Anolis sagrei: one gene and its partner. The protein of the gene in region 1 binds, or shares a complex with, the protein of each later gene. Links are inferred from orthologs where the notes say so. Each region holds a gene or a part of one and is shown on either strand. Other genes may lie near its edges.

Region 1 (7,374 bases):
AAAGTCAATAAGTGAGGGCAAAAGAGTCCGAAGAGGATTTCCAAACTGTGATTGGTGGGGCAATGTCCTTTGGGAAACTGTATCTCCCTGGTCGGAGCCCGGGACCCATGCCTGGCCCCCTCTCCGGGGCTCCTACGGGCGACCGCCGTGGGTCCCAAGCTGCTGGATTGAATTGGGAGCGAGCACTGCTGCGGAGGAGCGGAAAACCCAGCCAAATTGACAATCAGCTGTTTCTCTGCAAGATAAAATACTTAAAACAAAACTAATTTTTCCCCGGGTGAAGGAGCCCAAAACGAGAAAAGGGAAATGGCAGTTAGTCTTAGAATTAGTTGTAGAAAAATATAAAATTGGAACGGCGGCGATCCGCCATTTTAAGTATTTTTGTGGATAAGGAGGTCTGAAATGGCGGTTTCCGTATCCGTGGTCTAGGCGAACGCAGATTCGGGGTCCGGGGAGCGCCCGGAGGCGCCCCCCGCGGGCTCACGGTCCTCCGGAGCCCAAAAAAAACGTCTATTGCAATGTTATTTGTTTGAGTCAAGAAAGGATACAAAAGTAGCATGCGGAAAGATAAAAAGTTGCAAGTTTCAAGTACTTTTATTAGGGAAAGGATACAAAGTAAAGGGAAGGGGAAAGCAAGATGAATACTGCAAGCATTCCTGGGTTTGAGCTAGCCGCTGGGGCACATTTCATCTGTTGGTCCCAAAAGCTTGGTCCAGGAACTGCGGAACTCTCCGCTGCAGCTCACACCAATGTGAAGGTGGGGCTCCCCGCTGCGCTCGGGCTCATTACTACTTGATTGTTATACAGATTGGGTTGTTATAGGTTTTTCAGATTATATGGCCATGTTCTAGAAGCATTTTCTCCTGACGTTTCACCTGCATCTATGGCAAGCATCCTCAGAGGTTGTGAGGATGCTTGCCGTAGATTTCACAAGACCTCACAACCTCTGAGGATGCTTGCCATAGATGCAGGTGAAACGTCAGGAGAGAGTGCTTCTAGAACAGGGGTCTCAAACTAAGGACCGGGGCCCGGATACAGCCCTCCAAGGTCATTTACCCCGGCCTCACTCAGGGTCAACCTAAATCTTAAACGACTTGAAAGCACACAATAACAACAATCCTATCTCATCAGCCAAAAGCAGGTCCACACTTCCCATTGAAATACTAAGTTTATATTTGTTAAAAATGTTCTTCGTTTTAATTGTTGTATTGTTTTAAGTGTTTTTTGTACTACAAATAAGATATGTGCAGTGTGCATAGGAATTCATTCATTTTTTTTTCCAAATTATAATCCGGCTCTTCAACAGTATGAGGAATTGTGACCTGGCCCTCTGTTTAAAAAGTTTGACGACCCCTGTTCTAGAACATCTATATATATAAATTTGTTAGGGGCATCCAACGAGGAATGGATAAAACTCTAAAAAAACCAATGAAACTTAACCAAAATGCCCATGCTCATAACACAACCCAAACATATTACTCAAAATGAAAAACAACACAACAACACACTCAAAACGGCAAAAAAAAAACTCAAAAAAACCCCAACGAAACTTAACCAAAATTCCCATGCCCATAACACAACCCACAAGGTATAAACGTATCTACTCTAAATGAAAAACAACACAACAACACACTCACAAAACGGCAAAACAACTGAGCATGCGCATTGGCGCCCAGCCGCAAGTTCCCTGGCGCGCGCACATGCCCTTCCGGCCAACGTTCCCTCTGTGGAAACCATGCCCACTCCAAGCCCCGCTGCGCCGCTTCCCGCACACACACACACCCCTGCCGCACATACACACACAACCCCACACTCCATCACTCCCCCCGCCGCCGCACACGCACACACGCAACCCCACTCCCCCCACCGCCACACACACACACGCAACCCCACACTCCATCACTTCCCCCGCTGCCGCACACACACACACACAACCCCACTCCCCCCGCCGCCGCACACACACACGCAACCCCACGCTCCATCACTACCCCCGCCGCCACACACACACACACAACCCCACTCCCCCCGCCGCCGCACACACACACAACCCCACGCTCCATCACTCCCCCCCACCGCCACACACACACACGCAACCCCATGCTCCATCACTCCCCCCGCCGCTGCACACACACACACAACCCCACGCTCCATCACTCCCCCACCCCAATCTTACCTCCTTTTACTTCACACCACCTCCAAACCCCACCCCGCCCCTTCCCGCCCTGTCAAAATCTAGGAAAGACAGGAAGGAAGGAAAGAAGGAAGAAAGAGAAAGGGAGGTAAAGAAAAAGGGGGAAGGAAGGAAAGTTAGAGAAAGAAGGAAGAAGAAAAGGAAAGAAAAGGAAAGATGGAAGGAAAGAAAAGAGAGACAGCAGAAAAGAAAGAAAAAGGGGGAAGGAAGGAAAGAGATAGAGAAAGAAGAGGAGAAGGAAAGATGGGAGGGAAGGAAGGAAGGAAGGAGGGAAAGAAGGAGAGAAAGAGGGAAGATTGGCCACAGCAACACGTGGCGGGTAAAGGTTGTTATTTCTATTATTATTATTATTATTATTATTATTATTATTATTATTATGCTATTGTTCCTATGAGACCCTGGAGGAATGGGAGAGGTGTCAAGTCCCAGAGGCAATGCATTGCATTATTGTTATTGTTATGATGGTGGTAAAATAAAAGGAAATAAAAAGTGAAAGAAGGAAGCAAACAGGGAGGGAAGAAAGGCAAAGGAAGGAGGGGGAGGGAATGAAGGACAGAGAGAAGGATGAAACCAAGTAGTGAAAGAAAGAAAGAGGTAGAGAAGGAAGAAAGGAAAGGGGGAGGAAAAGGGGGAAGGAATAGGTAGGTACCTCTCTTTCATAATAGTCCAGATATCTACCTCAACTTTGATAAGTTTTACTATAGGCCACAGCAACGCGTGGCAGGGCACAGCTAGTGTCTATATAGCCCGAAAAACCTGCAACAACCCAGTAATTCTAGCCATGAAACCCTTCGACAATAAGTTATACGTGCCCCAACTGTGACCATACCTCGTGAAGGCGGATCTGGCCAGGGTGGTCCATGTCTTAGTCACCTCCAGATTGGACTACTACAATGCACTCTACGTGGGGCTACCCTTGAAAATGGCCCGGAAATTTCAATTGGTCCAACAAGCGGCGGCCAGGTTGTTAACTGGTGCTCCTTACAGGGAGTGGTCAACTCTTCTGTTTAAGGAGCTCCATTGGCTGCCGTTCATTTTCTGGTCCCAATTCAAGGTGTAGGTGCTTACCTACAAAGCCCTAAACAGTTTGGGACCCGCCTACCTGCGTGACCGCATCTCTGTGTACAAACCCACACGATCTCTTCAATCATCTGGAGAGGCCCTGCTCGTGCTCCCACCTCCATCACAAGCGCGATTGGTGGGGACGAGGGAGAGGGCCTTCTCAGTGGTGGCCCCTTGACTCTGGAACTCACTCTCCAAGGACATCAGGCATGCCCCAACTCTGGCAGTCTTTAGGAGGAGCCTGAAAACGTGGTTGTTTCAGTGTGCCTTCCCAGAATAAGGAAACTCCCAGCAATATGTCCCTAAACGCACTTTATTAGTGATCTAGGATTGTCTGCATGTTTCATCCCTCTCCAAAATTTCTATCCTAGTTATATGTCACCTGGTCATGCCCAGCATTATTTTTAAATTTTTAATTATTACATTTGGCCCAGCCATAGGTTTTTAAATGTCATTGTGTTATTGTTAATGTTTATTGCTTATTTTCTGCTTATGAGTTTATTATTGTTTTGTATTACTGTTGCTATTGTTTTTATTGTTGTATTGTGGGCTCGGTCTCATGTAAGCTGCACCGAGTCCCTTGGGGAGATGGTAGCGGGGTACAAATAAAGTATTATTATTATTATTATTATTATACAGATTTCTCAGGAGGCGGACAAGGTGTCTTGGTATCCCCATACCACCAAGAACTTGCCACAATTTATTATGAGCCTGCTCCCATTGCCTTGAGCTATGGCCAAGCCCCATTCATTCATTAATTCATTGATTCAATGTAACCCATAGGCTTGCACTAACTCGTTCCTCCTGCAGGGGTCGCTACCGAACTCCCTCCGTTCTGCTTCCTAGAAGGGCTTCGCTTTGCAAAGCGCCGAGGAGACACCGCCTCCTCTCTCTAAGGAGACCCGGATGTGGAAGGGGATCCCTTCCGGGGTGGGGGCCGGTGGCTGCGGTGAGGCTCCTGCCAGCGAGAGGCGGGGGTCGTTTTCCGCTCAGCATGGCGGTCCCGATGGAGACCCAGCTGCAGAGCATCTTCGAGGAAGTGGTGGTGAGCGCCGCCTTCTCCTGCTCCGGGGAGGGAGGAGTGCGAGGGAGGGAGGACGATTTGATGCCTTCCTGGTGGGGTTTGGTCTGCAGCTCCCCTTCGCCCCAAAGAGATGGGCGGTGTCGTCCAGTGGCATCTGAAAGAAACCCATTCGATTAGACAGCCAAGGTGTCACTCTCTCAGCCACCCATGCGGAGAGAGAGAGTGTCAGATTTTTGGAGTCTTTCCGATTTCTGGATAAGCCCAGGATGCTTAGGCAGTTCACGTGTGGCTTGCCACAAGGGCTGCCTATGGGCCACAGGCCTCTCTCGCCCCTAACCTGTTGTTCCTCATCCTCCTGGCCCTGGGGGAGGCCACCCTTGCAATGCCTGAGGGCTCTTCCAGACAGGCCCTACATCCCAGGTTATCTGGCAATGTGGACTCACGTAATCCAGTTTAAAGCAGAAAACCTAGGATCAGATCCTGAGATAATATGGACTGTGTTGTTGTAGGTTTTTTCGGGCTATATGGCCATGTTCTAGAGGCATTCTCTCCTGACGTTTCGCCTGCATCTATGGCAAGCATCCTCAGAGGTAGGGAGGTTTGTTGGAACTAGGAAAATGGGTTTATATATCTGGAATGACCAGGTGGGACAAAGGACTCTTGTCTGTTGGTGCTAGGTGTGAATGTTTCAACTGACCAAATTGATTAGCATTTGATGGCCTAGCAGTGCCTGGGGCAATCTTTTGTTGAGAGATGAATAGATGTCCCTGATTGTTTTCCCTCTGTTGTTTTGGTGTTGTAATTTTAGAATTTTTTTAATACTGGTAGTCAGATTTTGTTCATTTTCATGTTTTCCTCATTTCTGTTGAAATTGGCCACATGCTTGTGGATTACAATGGCTTCTCTGTGTAGTCTGACATGGTGGTTGTGAGAGTGGTCCAGCATTTCTGTGTTCTCGAATAATATGCTGTGTCCAGGTTGCTATGGCTGACTTCTCTGGTTGAAGTAGTCTGCAGTGCCTTTCATGTTCCTTGACTCGTGTTTGGGCATTGCTGCGTTTGGTGGTCCGTATGTAGACTTGTCCACAGCAGCATGGTATACGGTAGACTCCTGCAGAAGTGAGGGGATCCCTCTTGTAATATGGACTGTCTGAAAGTGCCCTAAGAATCTTTTCGTGTGTGTACACACACACACATATTCCTGTTAACAGAATGCAAAACTTCATATATTAGATAATTTGGATTCAATTCTGTGAAACCCTGTGCTTCAATAAAGTGGTTTAAGATGCTTCAAAGTTTGGTTTTGTGTTCGTCTCATACGAAGCAGGGAGCAAGTTTGTTTTCTGCTTCCCTGGAGACTAGGACATGGAACAATGGCTTCAAATTACAAGAAAGGAGATTCCACTGCTGAACGGCTCTCACAGTCAGGAAGTTCTTCCTAATGTTCACCTGAACATTAGGAAGAACTTCCTGGCTGTGAGAGCCATTCAGCAGTGGAACTCTCTGCCCCAGAGTGTGGTGGAGGCTCCTTCTTTGGAAGCTTTTAAACAGAGGCTGGATGGCCATCTGTTAGGGGTGATTTAAATGCAGTATTACTGCTTCTTGGCAGGGGGATGGACTGGATGGCCTATGAGGTCTCTTCCAACTCTTTGATTCTATGATTCTAGATGTGAGGAAGCAAATATATTGGATGTGAGATCACAAAAAAATGCTTTGGAAGAAAAGGAGTTTGTAGAAAAGGAGTTTGTAGAAGCTAGGGATCATATCTGACCTGCTATTTATTACTAGCTCTTTTACTATGGAATACGTTTCATTGAACTCAACTGTTCTTGAACTTGTGCTTGTAATTATTATTAATTATTATTATTATTAACTTTATTTATACCCCGCTAGCATCTCCCGGAGGACTCGATGCGGCTTACGCAGGCCGAAGCCTCAAAACACAATACAGTAAAACAACACAACAGTAGAAAACATAGCAAATCAATAAGTTAAGCAAGCAATAACGGCAATAACAATACATCATGACACTTTAAATATAAAGAGAAGGGAAGAATCTCTTCAGGGAAACAAGAAAGCATCTTGGAAAAGGGAAAAAAGTACAATGCAGAACAGTGCAATTTAGAAACTTGTTCCAAATTATGAGTCAACATTTAATTCCGGACAACTATAAAATCACCTGAAAATACAGGAAAAACCTGTATTTCGTCATATATATTTTATTTAACTCCAGATCATTCAGAATTATAATATGACTTTGTGTTTACAGTCAGTGATGAATTTACTCCACCCATGTCAACATTTTGCACAGAGCTGGAATCCAAAATGCTAGACTCATCCAGCCACTTTGTATTTTTAAGACAGGAGATTTAAAATGTAATGTCATAAGCAGCCCCTTTGTTGTCTTATTTCTTTTGTTGATGTGATGATCTTCTGTGTGAGAGAGACAAGGTGTATGGCTAAGACCACCTTTGCGTTTATGTACTTCCTGATTGCCCTTGCTGGGCTCTCCTGTCCACAGAAGTGACTAGAGAAATCCGTAACAAACAAGGAACCAAAAGGTATTATGTCAAAAGAGCAAATACTGATTTAACTTTCCCAAGCAACATGGAATGCAAAGCCAACTTCAAATTGAGGCTCCAGATTCTTTGTGGAAGGATCTTTTGAAGTAAAAGGTAAAAGATTTATACGATCTGAAGAGAAACTTCTTTTTGACCATCTAATTCACACTTACATTCACTTCTCCATGACAGCAGACTGAATTTACTAGTGAATACACTTCTGAATAGATCAGATTGGAAAGCTACAAACTTCAGCTATCAACCACTAAGGGTTTATCTACATGGTAGAATGAATACAGTTTGACATCAGTTTAACTGCTATGGCTGAAAGCTATGGAAACATGAGAGTTGTAGTTTTACAAGGTCTTTTGCCTTCTCTGCCAAAGACTGCTAGTGTAGATCCCAGGTTTCCATAGCACTGAGCCATGATGATTAAAGTGCATTCATTCTACAGTGTAGATATAGCCTAAGAGTGGGAGTCAGACTCCTTGTACTACTAATGGGTATTAATGCATGTTGTTGTGCATTTCATTAGTA
Region 2 (7,681 bases), about 68 Mb from region 1:
CCAAAGACACCAAAAAGGTGATTTCCCAAATAAATACAGTTTTTATTAGAAATGTCTGTTCATGAATTTGTAAATTAACATATACATAGTTTAAGAAATGTATTATAACTTCACCAAGTACATTTTAATCAAATCCATTAAAAATCAAATCCGCAAAAGTCAACCCCACAAATGTGGAGGCTGAGTGTATTGAATACTGAACTGTTTTGTTTGTTAACCATCATCAAATACAGTATTTTGACACTTCCTAATTACAGTAATGTCTAGCACCTAAAATAAGAGTTTAAGACTTCTTGTCCCTCAAAGTAGCAAATGTGAAGTTATATCAAGTAACTTGTCCTCAAGCAGTTTACGATTGTTATATAAAAATAAATCCTTAATGGTAAATCATTATTATTCTCATTGCTGCTAAATGTTATTTGCACCTTACTCATTAGCTCTATCTTCTAATGTTATGACTCCAGTTTGCCCACGCACAATGAGACATTGAACTTTGCTATTGGTTGTTAGTTTGATGTTGTTTTATATACTGTTTAATGTTGTTTCATTTTGTTATATTATTTATTGTTATCATTTTGTTGATCTGCATTTTAATGTGTTACATTTTAAGTGTTCTGTTGGGCTTGGCCCCATGTAAGCTGCCCCGAGTCTCTTTGGGGAGATGGAGGCGGGGTATAAAAATAAAATAGTAGTAGTAGTAGTGTTGTTGTTGTTGTTGTTATTATTGTTGTTATTATTATTATTATTATTATTATTATTATTATTATTATTATTATTATTAGAGATGGAGAAATTTGTTTTCCTGGTCTAACAGACTATTCAACATTTGAAATACCATATTTACTCGAATTTAATGCTCACCTTTTTTTGGCTAAATTACATAGCCAAAGGTGAGGTACGCATAAGATTTGATGGTGCGTTAGAATTGCCTGCACCCTTCCATCAGGCTGAGAACTCAGTTTTGAAGGCCTTGTGAATGAGGCCTTATTTGAGACGCTGCCAAACGTCCGTCAGGCTGAGGCTAGTTAGTTCACCAGCCTTGGACAGATGGAGAAGCAAGGCTTCTCCTTGCCTGTCAATTTTTCCAGGGTGGTGAGCTGAACATCCAACAGGCAAGGGGAACCCATGCATTACATTTAACAAGAAAACATTTTTTTTTGCAATGTGCACTTTCAAAATTGAGATGAACATTACAATTGATAACAAATTATGCTTGAGTAAGTATGGTAAGAAGTGAAAAGGTCAACCACTTTAATACTCTTTATATTATTTCGAAACTCTTTGATTACCTGGCTGTCCTCTCCGGTTTGTGTAAGTTTCTGGTTTCTTGAAATTGCCAGCATTTCAATCAGCTCCCTGAAGCACATTTAGCATAAAGAAAGAAGCAAGAAAGAGTTTATCCTCTTTTAGAACAGAAACACATTTTCCTGCCTCTATTGTTAAACTTCAAAAAAAATCATAAACTTAATAGCTCTCCATATTTCACAAGAACATCTTTATACTGATAACCAAATCAATTTCTGCCTTCCAGTACTTTACAGATGAAAAAAAAGGTTAGTCAGCTGTATGCAGATGGAACCTATCAATTTCTTATGTAGTGATTGACTTCCTCATAAGAAGATAATGAACAACTCAAAACCCATGGAATTTCTCTGCCTCCTGCTTCCAGTTAGGAAGTCTATTTGTTAATGTTTGCAATTTTGCATTTTATGACCTTATTGGTTTAATGTATATGCATGTGTATTCTGATTAAGTGAGGTGCAACAAAAATAATTACACAAGAACTAAGTGCTCATCTGAATTCTGTTTCCCAAAAAATTGGCCCTTTAGGTCATGTTCTGGCTACATGTGTTTGGCCCCAATTCCTATAAAAGTTTCCCCCCCCCCCCCCTGGTTTGCTGCATCGCTTCCATTTATTCTCCGGTGACTGGAACCATATTTGAAAAACCAGAACATATTTCATTGAGTTGCTGTGAGTTTTTTTTGGGCTGTATGACCATGTTTCAGTAGCATTCTTTCCTGATGTTTCGTTTGCAACTATGGCAGGCACCCTCAGATGTTTGTTCAGAGGTGTGTTGGAATGAGGCAAGTGGGGTGTAAATATATCTGTGGAAGGACAAGAGTGGGGGAAAGAACCTTTGCCTATTTGAAGCCTTGATTAGCATTGAGTAGCAGCTGCAAAGTCTGGCTGTTGTACTTCGACAAGATTTGTTTGTACATACATTGAATGTTTTATGACCATAACATATGTATGAAAAACATTCTTATGAGTAGGTTCTTGTGGGTTTTTTTCAGGCTATAGAGCCATGTTCTAGAGGCATTTCTCCTGACGTTTCGCCTGCATCTATGGCAAGCATCCTCAAAGGTAGTGAGGTCTGACATTCTTATGGTTTATATTATCCGGTTGTCAGAGTGGACCAGCATTTCTGTGTCCTCAATTAATATTCTGTTTGAGTATACATTGTCGAAGGCTTTCATGGCTGGAATCACTGGGTTGTTGTAGGCTTTTTCGGGCTATATAGCCATGTTCTAGAGGCATTATCTCCTGACGTTTTGCCTGCATCTATGACAAGCATCCTCAGAGGTTGTCTATTTTGTCCCAGTCCTGGGAATTCATCTTCTGGCTGATGTTTATATGGCTTGGAACAGTTTCTCCCAGTAGAGATGTTCAATGTATTGTCGAAGGCTTTCATGGCTGGAATCACTGGGTTGTTGTAGGTTTTTTTCGGGCTATATGGCCATGTTCTAGAGGCATTCTCTCCTGACGTTTCGCCTGCATCTATGGCAAGCATCCTCAGAGGTTGTGAGGTCTGTTGGAACTAGGAAAAAGGGTTTATCTCCATTTTCCTGTAAGTGAGGTTGTCTATTTTGTCCCAGTCCTGGGAATTCATCTTCTGGCTCATGTTGATATGGCTTGGAACAGTTTCTCCCCGTAGAGATGTTCAATGTATTGTCGAAGGCTTTCATGGCCGGAATCACTGGGTTGTTGTAGGTTTTTTTCGGGCTATATGGCCATGTTCTAGAGGCATTCTCTCCTGACGTTTCGCCTGCATCAACATCAGCCAGAAGATGACCAAGGCCCTCGGCCCTGAGAAGCGAAGAAGGCGTCCCTGCAGACATTGCCCCTGCGACAAGGGGAACTTACCTGGCAAGGAGCTCCAGGTCGTCCAGCGCTGCCAAGAGCCGCTCCCGAGTGCTACTCCGGTCTCCAACCCCTGCCGCCGCCGCCATTGCCTCTCTCCGCGTCTCTGACAACAGGGAGGGAGGGTGAACGCGCCGGAAGCGAGAGAAACAGGCACACAAACCGGAAGTGGCAGCGCCCCTCGTGGCGCCAGGGTGATTGAGGGCGCGCGCCCTGGCCCGTGCTGTGGCTCGCGCTGGCGCATGCGTAGCGCGAGCGGGGCAAGCTCGCCTGAGCCGAGGGGCCGGGGAGGAAGGAGGCTCGTCATGGCCGCCTCCATGATGTGTTCTCGGGTGGTGACAGCGGCCGCCAGGCAGCTGAGGGGATACCAGGGAGGGCGCGCCAGCCTCGCTGCCAAGGTGAGGGGAGCGGGGAAGAGGAGGGCGGTGGAGACAGACCCTGGCCTGGCCTTGCTTTCCTTCCCCAGCGTCCTTTAGATGCCCTCCCCCTCCTTCCGGCGCCGGCACCCGGAACTCACCTCTTTCTGCAGAGGGAGGGCTCACACTCTGCACTGCCGAGTTAACACAGTTTGGCACCACTGTTGGGGAACCCTGGGAGGGCCCTTCCACACAGCCATATAACCCAGACTATCAAGGCAGGTCTTCCACAATATCTGCTTTGATCTGCGTTATCTGAGTCCACAATGCCACATAACCCAGTTCAATGGGGATTTTATCCAGCTATGTGCAAGGGGCTCCAGTTGCCGTTTGACAGAAGAGACTCAAGGCCTTAGAAACATAGAATCAAAGAGTTGGAAGAGACCTCATGGGCCATCCAGTCCAACCCCCTGGACAGGAATATTGCATTCAAAGCACCCCTGACAGATGGCTATCCAGCCTCTGTTTAAAAGCTTCCAAAGAAGGAGCCCCCACCACACTCCGGGACAGAGAGTTCCACTGCTGAACGGCTCTCACAGTCAGGAAGTTCTTCCTCATGGAAGGAATATATATCATTTGGAAGAGTGAATTTATAACTCAAGCCTTGAGAAAACTCTAGAGCAGTGGTTCTCAACCTGGGGTCCCCAGATGTTTTTGGCCTTCAGCTGCCAGAAATCCTAACAGCTGGTAAACTGGCTGGGATTTCTGGGAGTTGTAGGCCAAAAACATCTGGGGACCCCAGGTTGAGAACCACTGCTCTAGAGGGAAATTACTGAGTAGCATTTAGACCAGGGGTCCTCAAACTAAGGCCCAGGGGCCAGATACGGCCCTCCAAGGTCATTTACCCAGCCCTCGCTCAGGGTCAACCTAACTCTGAAATGACTTGGAAGCACACAACAACAACAACAACAACAATCCTATCTCCTCTGCCAAAAGCAGGCCCACACTTTCCATTGAAATACTAATAAGTTTATATTTGTTAAAATTGTTCTTCATTTTAATTATTGTATTGTTTTTAAGTGTTTTTGCACTACAAATAAGATATGTGCAGTATGCATAGGAATTCATGTTTTTTAAAAAATTATAATCTGGCCCTCCAACAGTTTGAGGGACAGTGACCTGGCCCTCTGTTTAAAAAGTTTGAGGACCCCTGATTTAGACTTATACCCTGTGCATTTTCTTTGTTATATTTATGTGCAGTTTAAACCAATTTGCACAGTTAATGTTAACATAGCTCTGTGTTGATAACAGTTTACAACTTGCGTTTTGTTGTTGGTCATAGATATCTGTGATATTATTGCCACTTCTTTTGCATCCTCAAACAACGGCCCTCCAGGTGTTTTAGGCTTCCAATGCCCTGAAGCCCTAGGAGCTTGTTCAGTGGTCAGGAATCCCGGGATTTGGAGGCCCAGACAGCCGGAGGACTGCAGGCTGAGGGTGCCTGTCATAAAATCTACTTCTTCCTTTTTATTTTCCTTCATTGCAGTGACCTCCTTGAGCCATGAAGGCTATATTTTGCTTTCTGAGGCCCCTTGACCCTGCTGAATAAAATCCTACGTTTTCTGCTTTGAGTTGGAATTATATGGCAGTGTGGACTCAGATAACCCAGTTCAAAACAGATATTACAGGTTTTTCTGCCTTGATATTCTGGGTTATATGGCTGAGTGGAAGGGCCCTGATTCTTTTGATTTTTTTTATCATGCCCTTCTTTAGATTTTACTAAGGGCCCTTCCATGCAGCCATTATGTGTTTTTCCATTCTGCCATATAGTTCTTCCTAATGTTTCGGTGGAATCCTTTTCCTACAATTTGAATCCATTGCACCACTGTTTTTTAGTCTCCATGCAGTAGGAAACAAGCCTTTCCCCTCCTCAGTTTGATATCCTTTCAAATATTTAAACATGGCTATCAAGACCCCTCTCAACCTTCTCTTCTCCTTGCTAAACATAAGCTACTCACTAAGCTGTTTTTCATACGATTTGGCTTCCAACCCTTTCATCAGGCCCCTTCTACACTCCCATATAAATTCCAGATTTATCTGCTTTGAACTGGATTTTATGGCAGTGTAGACTCATATAATCCAGTTCAGAGCAAATAATCTGGATTGTCTGCTTTGATAATTTAGATTATATGACAGTGTAGAAGGGGATTCATTCTGCTTGCTCTTCTCTGGACACCTTCCAGCTTGTCAACATCCTCCTTGACTTAGTGTTCCAGGTCAGGTCTGACCAAAGCAGAATAGAGTGGGACCATGACTTCCCTCAATCTTGATACTACATTCATGTTGGTGCAGACTGGAATCACATTGGGTTTTTTAGCTGCTTCATCACACTGTTAACATTTTCAGCTTGTTGTCCACTAAGACTCCAAGATCTCTTTCACATGGACTGTTGTTAAGCCAGACGTTGCCCATCCTGTATCTGTGCATTTCATTTATTTCTGCCTGACTGTACCATCCTATATTTGTCCTTGTTGAAATTCCTTTTGTTAAGGTCATTTTGGATTCTGATCCTGTCTCTGAGCTATTAAATATCCCTCCTAATGTAGTGTCATCTGCAAATTCGATAGGCATGCCTTCTCTTCTGTTACCAAAGTCATTGATAAAGGTATTACTTGAGAACTTTATATACAGATTGTATGGAAGTAGCTATTTATGTAGCTTGGGGGGGGGGGGGGTCTGAACGGTGAAAATGTATGTGTGGTAGATGACTGGCACACAGTAAAACTATTGTTCCAAATAGGAGAGCTTTGTTCGGCAAAAGTTAACTATTAGTGTGATTCCCCTGTCATATGATAGAATTAAAATGGTGAAGGTCTTTTTTTATCATAGTGTGATTTTTAATTTTTGTGCTAGTGGTTCAAAGGAAGCAGACAAAGCTGTATTTTGATGTAAGATCAGGAGAGAGTATGAAGGATAGTGAATTAGGCAGAAGGTCACGAAGTAGTAATACTCTCAACTGTGTATTGTGGATCTGATCCCTCTTTCTTCTAGTGTTTTTCCACTTCACATTGTTTTTTCCCCAGTTTGAGTTTTTTTGTTTTTTTAAAAGTGAGTTTGTTTCATGGAATGTTAAAAGCCGGTTTGTGTTTCTAAAGACAAATCCAATCACGTTCAGAAGGGATTAGTGCAGAAACTAATTGTGGGCGAAGGAGTAGCCAGTAGACATTAATAATATGTGTATTCATTGGCTTGCACCAGGAAGAACTGGGTTCAGATTTTATTTCAGTCATGACACCCATACATTGTCAGACAGTCAGTCTTGACTTAATCTACATTAGAAGGCTAATGTGAAGATTAAAATAGTTATAACATAATGCAAGTCACTTTGGGGTTTAAAGGGAAAGGTCTATAAAGGTAAAGGTACCCATTTTCCCTGACATTAAGTATAGCTATACCCGACTCTGTGGTGCTCACCTCAATTTCTAAGCCAAAAAGCCACCGTTGTCCGTAGACGCCTCCAAGGTCATGTGGTTGGCATGACTGCATGGAGCGCCTACTAAGGCGGTACCTATTGATCTACTCATGTTTGCATGTTTTTGAACTGCTAACTTGCCAGAATCTGGGCCTAACAGTGGGAACTCACCCCGCACCCCAGATTCAAACTATTAACTTTTCAGCAAGTTCAGCAGCTCAGTGGTTTAACTCGCTGCACCATCAGTATATATATGTAATATATGGTTCATTACTTAATCTACTGGTGCCATACAATTGTGACAAGATTTGCTACTGATTCAATTGTTAATTTCTCCATTATCCTTAAAACCCTCCTGTTTAGATACATCCTACTTTTGTACGCGCCCAGTGTTTATTTTAAATTTTAAATTTATTACAACTGGCCTGTCCATAAGGTTTTGAATTTTTGTGTGTTATTGCTTATATGTGAGTTATATTAATTTTACTGTTCTATTCGCTTGCTGCCTTGTTGTTTTATTGATGTGTTGTTGGGCTTGGCCTCATGTAAGCCGCCCCAAGTCCCCATTGGGGAGATGGTGGCGGTGTATAAATGAAGTATTATTATTGTTATTATATTATGCAGTCTTGCAGTATCCTCTTGTTGTATTATTTGCTAGATTGAGGTAGGAAATGTGCAGCCTGGCTTGAGATCTGGATAATGGAGAAAGGC

The links. Proteins that work in one complex are often made in the same cells at the same time.
Region 2: MED23 (region 1) and MED4 share a complex: the UniProt entries of both Homo sapiens proteins name them as parts of the mediator complex. The link is inferred for Anolis sagrei from reciprocal best matches to the Homo sapiens genes MED23 and MED4.

Annotation. Positions count from the first base shown.
Region 1 is NC_090021.1:82,353,115-82,360,488, forward strand, and holds the start of MED23 (mediator of RNA polymerase II transcription subunit 23), read left to right. Parts: upstream 1-4,162; 5' UTR 4,163-4,247; coding exon 4,248-4,298; intron 4,299-6,797; exon of another isoform or gene 6,798-6,951; intron 6,952-7,374. UniProt on the Homo sapiens protein: Required for transcriptional activation subsequent to the assembly of the pre-initiation complex. Component of the Mediator complex, a coactivator involved in the regulated transcription of nearly all RNA polymerase II-dependent genes.
Region 2 is NC_090021.1:150,137,512-150,145,192, reverse strand, and holds the start of MED4 (mediator of RNA polymerase II transcription subunit 4), read right to left. Parts: upstream 3,283-7,681; 5' UTR 3,232-3,282; coding exon 3,146-3,231; intron 1,357-3,145; coding exon 1,290-1,356; intron 1-1,289. Other genes in the region: SUCLA2 (succinate--CoA ligase [ADP-forming] subunit beta, mitochondrial), read left to right, coding at 3,385-3,540. UniProt on the Homo sapiens protein: Component of the Mediator complex, a coactivator involved in the regulated transcription of nearly all RNA polymerase II-dependent genes.